2 linked regions of the Schizosaccharomyces pombe genome follow. Changing the gene in region 1 together with any one later gene gives a genetic interaction. Each region holds a gene or a part of one and is shown on either strand. Other genes may lie near its edges.

What was found. Genes that interact genetically often act in the same process or in processes that back each other up.
Region 2: mutations in oca2 (region 1) and get1 together harm fitness more than expected from each alone (negative genetic interaction), as found in Schizosaccharomyces pombe (2 studies listed by BioGRID).

The regions. Positions count from the first base shown.
Region 1 is NC_003421.2:756,879-766,700, reverse strand, and holds oca2 (serine/threonine protein kinase Oca2), read left to right. Parts: upstream 1-4,076; 5' UTR 4,077-5,847; coding exon 5,848-7,800; 3' UTR 7,801-8,333; downstream 8,334-9,822. Other genes in the region: heterotrimeric G protein beta subunit Gnr1 , read left to right, coding at 1-531; protein Emc6, read right to left, coding at 8,840-8,850, 8,940-9,195, 9,277-9,336. UniProt on the Schizosaccharomyces pombe protein: Overexpression causes cell cycle arrest.
Region 2 is NC_003423.3:4,315,856-4,322,759, reverse strand, and holds get1 (GET complex subunit Get1), read right to left. Parts: upstream 3,852-6,904; 5' UTR 3,814-3,851; coding exon 3,727-3,813; intron 3,679-3,726; coding exon 3,312-3,678; exon of another isoform or gene 3,219-3,311; coding exon 3,157-3,218; 3' UTR 2,641-3,156; downstream 1-2,640. Other genes in the region: protein Spo2, read left to right, coding at 138-539; SPOM_SPBC16C6.01C (lysine methyltransferase), read left to right, coding at 1,219-2,640; m-AAA protease Yta12, read right to left, coding at 4,151-6,472.

The sequences.
Region 1 (9,822 bases):
ACATTGGCAGTGGGAACGTATTCAAATCGAGTTGGGATTTATAATGATTGCGGACGTCGCCCTTGTCAGCTAGAGTTTTCGATTGAAAGAGGAAACGGAGTGACACATCTACAATGGTGTGAGGATGGAGAAAAGTTATATGTTGGAAGCAGATGCAGTGATAAGATTGAAGTTTGGGATATACGGTATGTGCGCGACATGGTATATGCTCTTGAAGGGCATCGTGGCGATACGAACCAAAGGATTCTTTTCGACACTGATAAAAAGGATGAAATTTTGGCAGGTGGGACGGATGGAAGTATTCGTAGATGGAGAAACAAGGATCTTGTGGAAGAAACGCATGTGACGGGAAATTACGATTTGACGGTAAACACAGTACAAGCGAACCCTATAAACATGCAGATAAAGTGTGTATGTTATGGAAATAGAATTTACAAGTATGAGAAGGATGAAAGTGAAGAAGAGGATGAAAGTAAAGAGAAGGATCTTTGGACAGGAACGGTTTCGGCTTTACAGGTTTGGATGGATTGAAAAAGCAAAATTTGGAATGAATGAATACTTGAAAAAATAAAAAATGGTGAGCTTGAAGGAAGAACTTTATGAGGATGATTTGATTATTAATAGAAAAACATTAGAAAACCGGTTCTAAATTGGTGTATTGGTGAATGGGTGTTTTTTTCGCAATCAGGAGGAGTCCTCAGACATGTTGAGGGGTTTCATTATTTAGATTATGATAAATTAAAAAATAAAAGAGATGAATTTTATGCAAATAGTTGATTATAAGAGCGCAACAATCTTTGTATTAATAAAACTACACATTCGCTTATTAAATAACCTTAAACTCGGTTATACATGGATTTCCAAGTGTCGCAAGTAGAGGAGAAATGGAGAAAATGGAAAGCAAAGAATGGATGAAAATTGTAAATCAGCAGTTTCGAACTTTTCAAAAATTTGTTAAAAATATTAATTTTTCAATTTAATTGAATTTTGTTTTACAAGGTGGATACTATGGAGGAAAAAACAAGATATGTATGGAAAAGGTAGCGATCGCAAAGGAAAAAAAATATTAGAAAAGGAAATGGAATGAAATTAATTGAACGAAATGAAAAGGACATGAAAATAAACAGAAGTATAGAACAAGAAAAAAAAAATTTTTTTTTAAAATAACATAAGGATGGAAGTGATCCGGAGTGAATAAATAGAGGGAAATGAAAAAAATAAATAAATAAAAAATAAATAATAAAATAAAAAATATTTATATACACATACATATAGATTGGAAAAAGATGAAAGAAAAAAAATGAACCAACCAATCTATCAATAAGTAAATCAATTAATCAATAAATATATAAAAATAAAAATTCTAAAACCAAGAAAAAAAAAAGAAAAAGAAAAAAGATTGAAATCTTATAAACAAATCCTTCTACGCTGCATACAAACACGTTACCACAGTCTGGAGTACTGTTGGAGAGTGAACCGAGACAGCCGCGGGGCGGTCCTTCGGCGAAACCAACGAGACGTTAAATATTTGCGATAATATTGTATAGTGCAAGTATGATAAAGACCGGTAACAAAAGTATAGCGGAAATTGAAAACCAAGTGCAAAATCTTCCAACGAGCAAAAGGTGTTACCCAAGCACGTCAGATGCATCAACCGAAGCAAAAATGTTTAAACGCAGATGAAAAGCTTATTGGAAGAAAAGTAAATTTAAGGCCAACGATTGGAGGAAGGAAAAAGTTTGATGGGGCAGATCCATTATGTTACACCTTGACTTTGTCGGCAATCAAGTCAAGTCAAGTGCCGAGGGCGCGCCAAGGTGGGTAAAGAAAGAGACAAGAGCAATACCGTGACGATCGGAAAAACCATTACCGAGAAATAAGGAAGGCCGGTAAATGGAATGAAACGTGGAGCGGCCAAAGGAAGAGAGAGAGAGAGAGTAGGAAAGAGTGAGCGAAGAAGGTGTCTGTCTGTAATAAGAGGAAGAAAAAGATGAGATGAAAGATGGATAGAGAGAGAATTGTAAGACATTGATAGAAACATTGATGGATTGGAAAAGAAAAAGAAGAAAAATCAAAAAGATGTTGGCAATTGTTTTGAATTCTAGTCAAAGAGTGAATGTTATATGTTTTTATGCTTAAAAAACAAAAAAACCATTCGAATGTAAGAAATGGTTTGAAGCAATATAGCCAGCGAATAAAAAATAAAAAATAAAAAATAAAAGGAAAAACCGTTCGATTCAAAGCAAAGTACAAACAAAGCCACAAAAGGATCTTACTAATAACGAATGCTACAAAAAACTAGACCAACTAACTAAACAAGTAGCAAAGGGATATAAAGAGGTACAGCGAAGTCACTGAAAAGATGAAGATAACGAGATATACAGATGTCATTAAAAGAGTGGTATAACGAAATATAGTGATATCACAAACCCACAGAATTTTAGGGCTGGTAAGAAAAGTAAAGAGAAGAAAAACAAAACAAAAGAATAAAAAAAACAAAAAAACAAACAAAAGGAAAGGCTGATGTGCATATAGTCTCAAAAGTCAATCGAGTTTAGTTTTACTTTTTCATGAGCATCTAGCATTTGCTCTTGTTTTGTGTTCGGCCGTCTGACTGTTTGGATGAGGAAGAAGAAAATTTTGTAGGGCGGCCGTGAAAGAAAAGGAAACAAAGGAAAAATTAAAAGAAAATAAATAAAATCGAATTAAATTAAATTAAATTAAATTAAATTAAACGAAATAAAATAAAATAAAATAATAATAAAAATAAAAATAAAATAAAATTGTAATTGTAATTGTAATTGCATTTGCTTTTGCTTTTGCTCTAGAAATGCTCCAATGTCTTTCCCTCGTACTAGTGTCATTGTCAGGATGCTGGATGGGCGAGATGACAAACGAGGAATAGTGTGTGCAATAAACAGGAGAGAGAAAGGCAAGTGAGAAGCAACAAGAGTTGAATCAAACTGAATTGAATTGAACCAAATTATTATTCTTCTTATAATCAAATTATTATTCCTCTTTAATCAAATCACTATTCCTCTTTAATCAAATCACTATTCCTCTTTAATTAAATTCCCATTCCTCTTGCTTACTGCCGCTCTTTTTTTCCCCCTCCCCTTGTTTAGATTTGGGTTGCTGAAATTTTCTTTTCTTTTTTTCATCCTCCTCCTCCTCCTCCTCCTTACTTTATTTTGTGTTTAACTTTTTTTCCCTTCTTTCCTTCAACTTTAATAAACCCGATCATTCCTTCCGATTGATCCTCTGCCAAATTTCCACCAAACGGTCGGATCCAAATTCAATGGAAAAGGAAGCGACTGGCGGTCGCACGAAGCAATGACCATGGCAGATGGATGAAATGATAACATCAACGGAATTAATTTCCTGACAAATGATGATACAAAGTATTGAATGAAACATGTCAATCATCATTTACTTATCTACATTTCCCACACTCTAGTGAATTTCATACTTTAGCTAATTTCAACACTTTAGCTCTAGCTACTCTTCCACCTCTTTAATTTTTTCTTTAGCTCTCTCCATCTCTCTATCTCTTATAACAATCTCTTTTTTTATACGTTATTCATCTTTAACCTCTCCCTTTCATCCCATCTCAATTCCTCCTTCGACTCTCAATCGCCCCCCATCTACCTTCTTTCGCTCTCCTTCTCCCCAACGAGGTCGCGTTCCTCTTCGCTATTCCCCTCTACTCCCCTCTCTCGCCCCACACACCGCCTGTCTCGCTCACTCAACTCCCTTTCGCCCTCCCCCACGTCATCCCCCCTGCTTGCTAGCGTTTAGCCTTTCGTTCTTCCTCTCAGCGTTTAGCGCGGTGCAACGGATTGTGGAGTCGCTCGCCGGAGGTAACACGTTGTAGCCGAACTAAAAGTGACATCATACTTCGGCACTTGCATGGGTGGGATTCCCGGAGATCGTGTGGATTTGCTAGCTCCTCCATCCAATGCGACTCGGCAGTTGATGTAGAGCGGCCATTCGAGATTACATGGGAGATGCTGTAGTAGACTGCGTGTTTCGTATACATATATTATATACACCTGCCGTGCACCGCAATACTTTTTGCCTTTTCCCATCCACTTTTTTTCATAGTATTGTTGAGAGCCACATTGATTGATTCCTTTTTATCAAGGAATTGAACCTGTTTCTCGTCGTCTTTTTTTTTTTTTTTTAAACTAGCAAATAAAAAAATTCATTGTAAGATTTGAATTATACTAAAAAGCTCTACTTCACTCCCCCGTCAGTCATAGTCCAACAACTTTGACTCAACAAAGCAAAAGCAAAAGCAAATCAAACCATACGATACGATACGAAAAACGAAAGTTTTTTTTGTCCATTGCATTGCTTTGATTCCCTTTGGTCTATCTGCCTTTGATTTCTTTTCTGGGTAAAACAGGAATTGAAAGAATTTTGAGAAAGTAAACGAAAAAATAAAGATTGAATAAAGCATAAAGATCTTATTTCCCATCAAAACATTGTTGTTATTGTTGTGATTTCTTCTGAAAAACAACAAATCAATTTCCAACTTTTCTATTCATTTACGCTTTTTTCCAATTCCCTTAATTTTCCATCCATCCATCCATCCTCATTGAGTCGAATTCTTTCTACTCAATTTGCCATTCGTCCCTTCACCCTTCCTATTCCACTCCCTTCTTTCCGGCTTCTTCCGTTTCGTTATTTGGTGTGATCGGTATCCCGAAAGTGAGTGAGTGAGTGAATTGTGTGATTCTCTTTCCCCCTTGGTATTCTTCCTTCAATCAACATTCTTTCGAATTCCCTTTTTGGGTTGATTTGTTCTTTGTTGTTGTTTTTTTTGTTTTGTTTTGTTTTTACGTACGTTCTATTTTCTATGAATACATAGAATTTCCTGTTTCGTAATCTCAATTCATTTCTCATTTTTCATACTTTATTTGAACCCAAGGTTTTCACACTTTTTCTTTATCTTCTCTTTTTTTTTATTTCCTTTGTGTGCTTTTCTTAAAGCCTCTTTTTTTTCCTCTTTGTGTGTCGTGATCGATCGGATCGTCTCGTCGGCTCACTTTACCTTGAATTTCTCCCTTTGGAAAATATCTACTGATATACCTATAAAAAGGTTCCCCATTCCCAATTAATTCCAGTATTGTTTTTTTTCCCTCTTCCTTATTTCCTTTTTTTTTTGTTCTTGAAATCTCTCATTCCTTTGTCGTTGCGCCAAAGAATTTTCCATAAACAATAACCAATTCGTTGTTGTCAGCGCTCGATTTCCCATCAAAAAAAAGTTATCTTCTTAGGAAATACTTATTTCTTTTCTCTCTTCAACCCTTTTCTTACTTGGAATTTATTTATTTATATATTTATTTATTCATTCTTCCCTTGTCATCCGTTGTTTTAAAAAAAACTCGCTTGACATTTCCTCAATTTCCCATCTCGTCTGACAGTATCTCCGTTACAAACTAATATCTGTCAAAAATCTTTGATTTTTCTCTACTTTCTCTTTGACGTGTTTGTTTATTTCTTGTGTTCCCATTCACTCCGTCTTGAGATTGCCTCTTTGAATCGTACTTTCTTACGCAATTGTTTTGTGTCGTACTTGAAAACTTGTATTGTTAAATAGTTTAACAACTACATTCCTTTGAGTTCATTCAAGTTTCTCTTTTGTATTTTCCTTGTTGTATTCTGAAGTTTTCTGTCTTTTTTCTTCCCTGTTTTTTACCTTTTTACCAAACCTTCCACTTGTTGTTTGGTTCATTGTAAAACACTTTTTTCTCTAATCTTACCGGTGGTTTGCTCTTCAGTGAACTAGAATATTTCTTTTGTTTCTTTATTTTACAATTGCACATGATTGCCGTTACGAACATGTCTGTCACCCCTCCCAATGTACAGTTTAACCTTAATGGGGATAGCGATCATAAATCAGACAATTCCAGTTCCTCACTGGAAAATAAACTTGACACTGAATTAAAAATAACGAGTCCTCCTCGTAACCCTCCTCAGCGTTTGCATCCTGTCGACTTTTCTGAGCACGCTGATACGGACGATGATATGAATCATCCTCTTCCCAGAGTTCAATCCCCCGTCCATATAAAGAATCACATTGACCCTAAACTTGCCGAGGATCGTTATCGTTCATCTGCTGCACGTCACTTCGAACCTATTTCCATTCCCCCTTCCGCTATCACCTCTGAGGATGAAGATGATTATCATGGCTCTGCTAATTCTTCTACCGTCCTTCCCCCTCGTACTGAAAATGCTTTACATGCTGCTAGTCCTAAACCTTCAGGTTCGACTGGTTACACCTCTCCTGCTCTTTCACAAAACAGCGGCAGTGGTGGTGAAGGCGAATCTGATGAAGGCTCTTTTAACACTCAGCATCATCGCTCCCCCATTTTTCAGGCATACCCTTCTTCAGAAGACCTTGTCGGCGATCCCAACGATCCTTATCGACGCACCCGCCGTGCTCCTATTAAGACAAATCCACATGATATCCCTTCACAGTTCATTTTCAGAAAGTTGGGTCTTCATCATGGAAAGCATGGTCATCATGGACACTCTGGTAGTTTATCGTTGAAATCTCTTGTTCCTAATCATCATGACAAGCATGATAAGCATGACAAGCACGAAAAACATCATAGTTCTTTAGATCTTCGTCGCTTTTTCAAATCCCATCAAAAGACAGACAAGGAGAAAAAGCCATCTGTTTCCAAGTCAAAATCTTCCGCTAACCTCCAAGATGATCATTTCGGTCTTTTCAAAAAATACGGAAAATTTGGAAGAATGCTTGGCTCTGGTGCAGGCGGTTCTGTCCGTATTATGAAGCGATCTTCTGATGGTAAAATTTTCGCCGTCAAAGAATTCCGTGCAAGAAGGCCTACTGAAACCGAGCGTGAATATGCCAGAAAGGTTACTGCTGAGTTTTGTATTGGTAGTGCTTTGCACCATACCAATATTATTGAGACCCTTGATATTGTTGAGGAAAATAAAAAATTCTATGAAGTTATGGAATATGCTCCATACGATATGTTTTCCATCGTAATGAGTGGTAAGATGACAATGCCTGAAGTTTATTGTTGTTTCAAACAACTTCTCTCAGGTGTTGCCTATTTACATTCGATGGGTTTGGCGCATCGAGACTTGAAACTCGATAATTTGGTTGTGGATAGTAATTGCTTTGTTAAAATCATTGATTTTGGTAGCGCTGTCGTTTTCAAATACCCCTTTGAAGCCGATATCGTTGAGGCCACTGGTGTTGTCGGTTCGGATCCATACCTTGCACCAGAAACCTTGGTCCGGAAACTATATGATCCTCGTGCAGTGGATATCTGGTCCTCCGCCATTATTTTCTGTTGTATGGCTCTTCGCCGCTTTCCTTGGAAATATCCCAAGCTTTCAGACAATTCTTTCCGTTTGTTTTGTATGAAACAGCCTTCAAATGATGCTGAGTCTCCCAGTGATATACTTGCTGACATAAAAAAACAGCGCTTAGTCGAGCAAGGATGCGAACCTATTAGAAAAACCGATGAATCACATAGTCCAAACTCTAAAACTGATAACTCTTCAACTCATAAACAAGAGTTGTATGGACCCTGGAGACTTTTGCGCCTACTACCAAGAGAAACTCGTGCTGTTATAGCTCATATGTTGGAGTTGGATCCTGTTAAGCGTTACGACATTCACAGGGTCTTTGCAGACAATTGGATTAATGATATTTCGATGTGCCATATGGAAAATGGTAAAGTTATTCATTCTCCAACACATGTCCATAATTTGGTGGCTTCAGAAGAGTCACCTGCTCCACCTGCAAAGCATTAAAAACTTATATTGTCTTTCCCACGTTTGTTTACAAAGTCGCCTTGGATATTGGTGATCTGTTAAACGATACCAAAAAATGAATAATGTGGTGGCTTGTTAATGAGCTAATCTCTTAATCGTTGACGGTGTAACTTAGTTTTCTTTTCAGACTTTTTTTATGTTAAAAAATACTTTATTCTTTGATTATTAGGGACATTTCAATTTCTTACTATAATCTCCTCTATTTAATAGTCAGTCCCTTTTTTATCAGCTCAACTTTATGATTGTTGGTGATTTTTTTTTTCTTTCTTTGGTTATTATATTATTATTATTGTCTTTGTGAGGTTAGCTTGTTTATGAGTTATTTATATGGTAAATAGGGGAAATCTACTGTGGTAGATTAAAAATATCTCTACAATTTTGAAAATAAATGTAAAATTGTCGCATCTTTGAATTTGGTTTTCATTTTTTAGTAAGTTTAGATAATACAATACAATTCATTAGTCTCAAAATTTTCAAAGATCGTGTTTGAATATGATATTTTGTCCTTTTCAACCGTTGTCAAAGTTGTTGCAAATATTGAATATATGCAGTGTTTACTTCAACTGTATAATAATGGTAAAACACGTGTTCAAAAAATAAATGCCTAGGCATCCATGTGCCCTGAAGCAGCTAGTTTTTAAGCACTAGAGACAATTTCTTAAAGAAGTAGAACATATCTCATGCAAAGTTTTCGAAATCAAATTTAAGGAAGACGACATGAATACAACGGAATGTGTGTGCTATGTTCTAGCATCGCTGACAGGACAAATATATTTTAAACAAATATCCTATTTTCTATAGGAAAAGTAAAGAAATGTAAAAAAACAGTTAGATTTGTGTTTTATTAGGAAATACAAAATATTTATAGGATGGGTTCACGAACAAAAGGAAGAGATCCACTTTTTTCTCAAACAATAGATCTTAATGAGGTATATGTGTTATTAACGAAAGGGCTGAACAAGAATAAGGAGGGTTCATCTTGGATTAATTGCCAAATGCATAAATCAAATTAAACACATTACTCATAAACTAATGACTTAGTTAGCGTGTAATTGTTTCAATGCGAGATCTGACTATTCAAACAAAATAAAATAGCAACGATCGAGCAAGTTTCTTACCATATACTAAACTGTAGAACAATGTCCAAGTTAAAACATAAGAAGGTGCGCCATCTAATATTTTAGCGATCCAAAACTTATATCCGGGCTGGTAATACTTAGTTAAGTTACCACGCATTTTCAATGCAAAGAGTAGAAAGGAGACGAAGAAGTAACCGAGTACATACAGAGCAAGCCCTTCATATGAAGTTAAACCCAAAATACCAGCTGCGCACCCGAAAAAACTAGAAGTCAAGTTTCGAACAAAAGAAACGACCTTTGGATTCATTAGCACTCAATTATAAAATCCTTAAAAAAACTAGTACCAAGAAAATCTAGCTCTGCAATCATTTCTTACCTGTTCATTATATGCAACATTTTCTACAACAATTGGAGCGACGCCTTTATCCCTTTCCATATTAGCTTATGAACAATTCTGATGTTTAGTTGAGTTCACCGCTTGTAGAATTATAACCAAAAAATGATGGATAACGCATCTTTATACTGCGGTATTAACTACATAAGGACTTAGTAGGAACGTAATTTTTTCGCAGCTTGACGTATCCTTAAAAGCATTTTGCAAACTGCGTAATTGCCAATCTTTCATGTAAAGCTACAAGCGATATGGATATGGGAAAAAGCATTACTTTTTGCTTGGGCTGAATGTTGGCTAGTTTGGAGGGTGAAATAGTTTATTCAATACAATTGAGTACTTTATTTTTTTCCATTTGATTTTTTTGAACAGAAATGGGCTAATTACTAGGATATTGGGAAATCGCATTGTTTAAAAGAGGTTCTCGTTTTACATCAAGGTCGATTTTTCATATTTATTTGTTTTAGAAAAAAGTATCATCTTATATTTCCTGTATTACTGGTTTTCTAATTCTAAAACTTGAAAATGGTG
Region 2 (6,904 bases), on another chromosome or scaffold:
ATTGTTTAACTGAATAGAATTCTTCTTGTTTGTTTACATTTGCTGTGTTTTGGCAGCGGTGTGAATCCCTCTTTGACTGTGAGTATCTTTCCACACCAAACTTAGAATTGTTTGTGAAAGAGAAAAAAAAACCGATTATGAGCATAACGATGTCCGATTCTTCTGCTTACGGCGAGGAATTAATGCGTGAGCGATTTGAGCACTTGCTTAAAGCTTACGAAAAAATGGCTTTGATGGTAGCAGAACAAGAGGAGTTTAATGCTAAAATTGAGGACATGGCTTTGAAATTATTAAGTGAGAAATATGACAATGAGGCTTATCAAGCTGAACTGTTTTATCGCTTGTCTAATTGTGTGGAAAAAGTCCTGCACAATAAAATAAGTATCACTGATCTAAAGACTGAGTATGAGGAGATTCTTGAGCAAACGCTGAAGAAAGAATGCAAGGCTTATGAAAGATCTTGTATTGAGAATGTGAAATTAAAGAAAAGAACAGAACAAGCAACCGCATATTATGCTAGTTCCTCAAGCGAACCGTAAAAAATGGGACATATGAGTCGATGTAAATTTCTTCGAATTTATTAGTTATTAAGCATACTCAGTCTATGTGTATCTTTTCCTTCTAAAATTTGACATGACAATTTACGACGGATAGTGAATGGAAGTAATGTGCAAACTATGTCATATATTATTTTTAGTTTTTTACATCTCTCCATTACTGATGGAAGTATCTACTGTTTAATTATGAATGTTTTATAAATGAAATAATTTATTTGTATGAAAAAGCATTATTGCGAAAAGTCTGTACAACTCTTGGTAAAATTATCACCATGAAGAAGCTTTTTATATTTAAAGCGTTTGTTTATTACCCCTTTTCAATCGTATTCAATCATATTCTTATAGTAGTTTTTATATTTACGATCCATCCTGCATTGCCCTTCTGTATCGGACAGGTTGAAAACGCGTAGCGGATTAAAAATCAAGTTTGAACAGACTAATGTGCTTTATTAAACATAATTTGAGAAATTAATTATCTTCTGTTCTAAGATACGTTCAAGTTTTACTCAAAAAATCAATGTGTACATCAGAAGGTTGGAGTATTTACCTACGCTTAAAATCAAATTTGCTTTGAAAAGATATTAACTTTCAAATGTTCAAAATTGCCGGAAAGCGCATAAAAAATATTATTAACTACTTATTAAAACATGTTAAATAAAGCATGAACAATTCCAAGCAATTTTTGAAGTACCAACCCTTACTTGAATGGCTAGCAAAACACGAAGCTTACATTTCACCCAAACTGTATATCGCTTCAAGTGGGGTCGCAGGAGATGGTATATTTTCTACCTTTGATATAGATGAACTTGAAGTTTTAGCAAAGATTCCTAGAAGGATCATTCTGAGTCCTCGCAACTCAAGATTTGGAGATTCGTTGTATACACATTTTAATGAATCTAATCGGTCTGATGATATTAACTTTGACAATAGAGATCAGGTTGGGCTGGTCATGCTCGTTATAACTGTAATATTGGAAAATATAACAGATAGTCCGTGGAACGCTTATTTAAACACCTTGGACGAAACTTGTATGCCTGATTCCCCATTATTATGGAAAGATAAAACGTGTCTTGAGGGAACCTCAATGCTTGATGTAATAAATACAAATTTAAGAGTATACAAAAATCAATATGATCAATTGGTCCGCCCTTACTTTTATAAACATGCTGATCTCAAACAGCTTTGTCCAAAATGGAATCAGTATTTAGAGACTTGTGTTCTCGTCCAAAGCAGGTGTTTTTACGTTAACAGCTACTACGGTTTATCTTTAATACCCTTTTTCGATATTTTTAATCACAAGTCTGGTCCAGCTATTGCTTCGCTACATTGTCAGGAGTCAAATGATCATAAAGGCGATATCAAAATAGAATTTATTTCTTTTCAGTATATACGAAAGATGTCCGAAATATTCAACTCCTTCGGAAACTTTGCCGCTGATGAATTGTTCACGCAGTATGGATTTATTGATACCGCTTGCAAAGTTTGGCGCGTCGACATGACAATGATTGCTTATGAAACTAACAGAAATTTTTATATGGAGTGGATTCATAAAAAAAGAATAATCAACACCCAGGAGTTGCTGGTCACCCCAACTACATACGCAAATGACAAGTCTGAGACTTTACGTTCAGTAATGATAAGACAACCTATGGATCTTTATATAATAACAGATCATGGTCCCAGTTACGGGCTTTACTTATATTTATTTTTTTGCATTTACAAAATCAAATTCCAAAAGTGCGATATGAATATAGTAATGCTTACAAAGTATTTTAATGAAATCTGGGCTGTGTTTATAGCACATAAGGAGGGAGAAAAAGAAAAGGTTGTTGCTCAACTCTCTGGTTTTTCTTTTTATTGTAAGGCTATAGAATTTCTACAGATGCTGTGTCAAAAGCGCATTAGTCGTTTCAAAAATGGTGGGTTGACTGCTGAAGCTTATAAGACTCTATTGTGCGATCCGACTCTTAAACGAGAGAATAGGTCTCGTTTAGTCTTACAAATTTTTTATCATGAACTTAATTTACTCGAAAAATCAATGCAAGAAACAATTTATCTTTGTACTGAAAATTTTGAAGATTAAAAAAACAACATACAACGGTTGGAAATGTTGCATAAAAGGAAAAGGTAAGATCGAAGTTCAGCTTAAATTTTAATCATAATTTTGTGCCCTTCTTAATTAACATTGTAGTAACTTTATGATGTTTTCCAAAACCCTGCATCGTTCCCTTTCTAGATGTCCTGTGTAATAAATAACCTATTTGCCATTTCAAACTTTCGGTATAAACAGCATCAGAAATATGAAAGCGTCAAATTAAGCAAATGAATTAGTAGGCATAGAAATAAGAAATCCGATGACAATTTAGATGAAAACCAGTGTAGAGCACATAAAGTGTACAATTTGTGAAGGAATAACATAATATTAATCGTGCATGGTAAACTATGCTTTCCATGGCATTCTTTCTTATGAGAAAAGGAAGTAGAAAACGCATTTATAAAATGACTTTACTGAAAATACATATGGCATCTTTTTCCCTTTAGTTAATTAAACTAAATGATAAAATATTAAAATTAGTCACCGTCTTTGATGATTTGGAGATCAAAATATCCCGGAAATAGTTTTTTGAACCGCAAAATTCCAAACTGTTAAGCTAACCGATCCTACATGCCATGTTAGTATTTCAGCTGCCATTGTGATAAATGAAAATAAAAATAAAAAAAAGATTTTCAGAATTTTCATTAAAAACAACATACCGTAGATTGATCGTGGAAGAGATAGCACCCATAGAGCCCAAGAAGGAAGCAAGAATGCAGGGAGGAAAAAGACAGGTGTTTTGGACTCTTTGAATTGAATATAAAACCGGAATCCACGGGTTAAAATCCAAAGAAAAAGGCTTAAAACCCGCTTGAAAGTATCTTGGAAAATTTTAACATTGGCTGATTGTTTTTCCCACTCTTGACTGAGTTGTTCATACTTTCTATTCAGACGGGCCCATTTAGCAAACTGATCTTGACTGCTAGTAGCGTTTAGCTCTTTCTTAACAGTAAGCAGCTGCTCTAAAATTTCTTTGTTCTTCTTTAAATCTTTATTATTAGAAACACTAACGTAAATTCGATAAGCCTTTCACATTATTAGTTTTCTTTACAACAAGTATATATGTTAAATTACCCCATCAATAGTCCTTTTTTTTGCAAATTTATCGAAGAAATGAATAAATAAGCTTAATAAAATTGTTGAAATAATCAGATCCATCATAAAATATGGACTTGTAAGAAAGTACAGTGGTTAGTGTCAAACGTGTAACTGTTGAGTATCACGCTCCCTATGACATGCTGGTCTAAAGGTCGAAACTAAACACAAGTTTGTTTGTTACGATATTAGCTATTTTGTGTTAGAAAATAATAATCTATTAACCTTTTAAAGTTCAGAAGAATTGATGTTAAGTATATTTATCTAGCTTCTGTAATATTAAATAGAAAAAATAGATAAAATAGCTATATGATATTCAATTGACAAATACTTTGATCATGAGATCCATGAAAGTAACTATTTTCATTCATAACGCTTTATTTAAATTCAGTAAATTGACAAATTAGGCAGAAGGTTGTTGAGGAGATGGGGGGATTGGTGGATTTCGAGGATCGTGATCATTTTTATACTCAGACTGACGCATAAGTTCAGAAATATTTAAATGTTTGTATGCATATGGCCTTGGTCCAAGAATCGTCTCAACTTCGTTATAAGTGATGACTTCTTTCTGTAATAGACGTTGAGCAATATTTTCTAAGCCTTGCTTATGTTCTAGCAAAAGTTTCTTAGTTCTTTCGTATGCATGCTTTACAAGCTTTCGAATTTCTTCATCAATCATTTGAGCTGTAGCCTCAGAAAATGGTTTTTGAACAGTTTCCCGAGTGTCGATGGGATAAGCTATAGTACCAACAGTCGGAGACATACCATATTGGGTCACATACGCTTGAGCCATGCGCGTTACTTTTTGAAAATCATCGGAAGCTCCCGAAGTAATCTTTTCTGGTCCAAAAAATATTTCTTCAGAAACACGCCCAGCCAAAGCCATTCCCATTTGATCTAAAATCTGCCCTCGACTCATCAGATACTGATCTTTGGGTAAATAACTAGCATAGCCAAGGGCTTGAGCTCTAGGAATGATTGAGACCTTCAATAGTGGATCGACGTACTCCATAAACCAACCAGCTACCGCATGTCCAGCTTCATGATGAGCAACGGTGTTTTTTTCTTCAGGACTTAGTACCCTACTCTTCTTTTCCAAACCTGCCGTGACTCTTTCAATAGCTTGCTCAAAATGTACCATTTGGACTTCATTACTATTTGATCGTGCTGCAATTAACGCTCCTTCATTACATACATTCATTATATCAGCTCCTGTAAAACCAGAAGTTAGGACGGCAAGACGCTTGGCAATTAAGTCGATGTTATCGGCTGCCTTAATATGCTTAAGGTGGACCTTAAATATTTGTTCACGACCGCCAATATCAGGACGATCAATCGTAATTTGACGATCGAATCGACCAGGACGTAGAAGTGCCGGGTCCAATACGTCTGGTCGATTAGTACCAGCGAATACGACGATATGTTCGCTAGACGTAAAACCGTCCATTTCAACTAATAGCTGATTAAGAGTGCTTTCGCGTTCATCATTGGAACCAAATTGTCCTCCACGTCCTCTTGCTTTACCAATTGCATCAATTTCATCTATGAAAATAATACAAGGAGCGTTCTTGCGAGCAGTAGCAAAAAGATCTCTTACGCGGGAAGGTCCAACACCAACAAACATTTCAAGAAACTCAGAACCTGACACACTTAAAAAAGGGACGTTAGCTTCACCAGCGGTGGCTTTAGCAAGAAGAGTTTTACCGGTACCAGGAGGACCAGAAAGAATGGCACCACGAGGAATTTTAGCCCCCAACCTTTCATAAAACTTGGGATTTTTTAAAAATTTGACGAATTCCATAATCTCTTCTTTAGCCTCGTCAACGCCAGCGACATCAGCAAATTTTATTTTGATATCAGTTTCATGATTAAACATCTTCGCTCGGCTCTTACCAATTCCAAAAATGCCACCTTGACCACCTCCTGCGGCACCCGAAGCCCGTCGCGATAAATAAATGACACTTCCAATGATCAGTAAGGTGGGAGCAAAAGACAATAAAGTAGCAAGAACAGAGACTTCGTCATGATAAGCGACAGGGACAAATTCAGAAGGTGGAATACCCAGTTGACGTTGTGCATCCTCTAGTTTTCGATCGAAAGAGTCGATGGAACCAATTGAAAAATAGTACTGCCCTGAACCTGAAGCTACACCGCCTCTCAAAATAACTCTAACCATATTGCGGTTAACAACAACTAGCCGTTCAACTAAACCCTTGTCTAAAAACTGTTGTCGAAAATCTTGCCAAGTAATTTCTTGCATATTTGCATTAGGCGAGAGAACATTGTAAAGGATATAGGCAACTAAAATTCCACCTAAAATAGTGTTGCCATTTAAGGCTATTTCAAAAACTTTTTTCGGATCATTGCCATTCAATCCCTTCTTTTTTGAATCATCATTTTTCTGGCCATTTTTCCTACCATTAGCATCAGAATTGGATCCTGAAGACCCATTTTGCGATCTTTTTGAGGTTACGCTAAATTGTTTAGATGAAATGAGAGGGATTTTATGTTTTTCCGGTATTCCTTTATTTATTTTAAGGGACTGAAAAGATCTCTGAGAAAGTGAGAGAAGAGAAAATTGTGAAACAGCTGTGGAACGTGTAGAAAAAGTATAAGCCCTTGCCAAACGCAAAGAAGAAAAATTATCCTTCTTTACGAATTTAGAAACCAGGTAATCTCCTGTTTTCCTAGTAGGTGCCCTAAACGTCAAAAAGGGATTTCGCATAAGGAATATTATATGGAAATAAGTCGCAGGGTACAATAACTTGAATTGAGCGTGTAAGGGCAAGTATAATATATAAAACCCTCAATATCGAAAGAGATAAACGTAAATGATTGTTTTAAGAAAAATATCCTTCGTATATGACGAGTAAAGGTGGATTCTAGAATTAAAAAATTCAAGAAAGCAGTAATTAATCGTTCAATTCAGTAATTGAGACCAAAACGAATAGAGACGAAAAGTTATAAGGTTGTATTAAAATAAAAATTTATTATTACCTCCGGACATGGATTTGGGCAACCTCCAAAAAGCGTTATGAAATTGAAGAAATTCCAATGTTTCACGTCAGCAAAAATGGTAATTAAAAGGAATAAGAACACAGTTGTCACTTTTTTTTCAGCTCAATAAACCCGTTACTAATCCTGTCAACAAAAAATA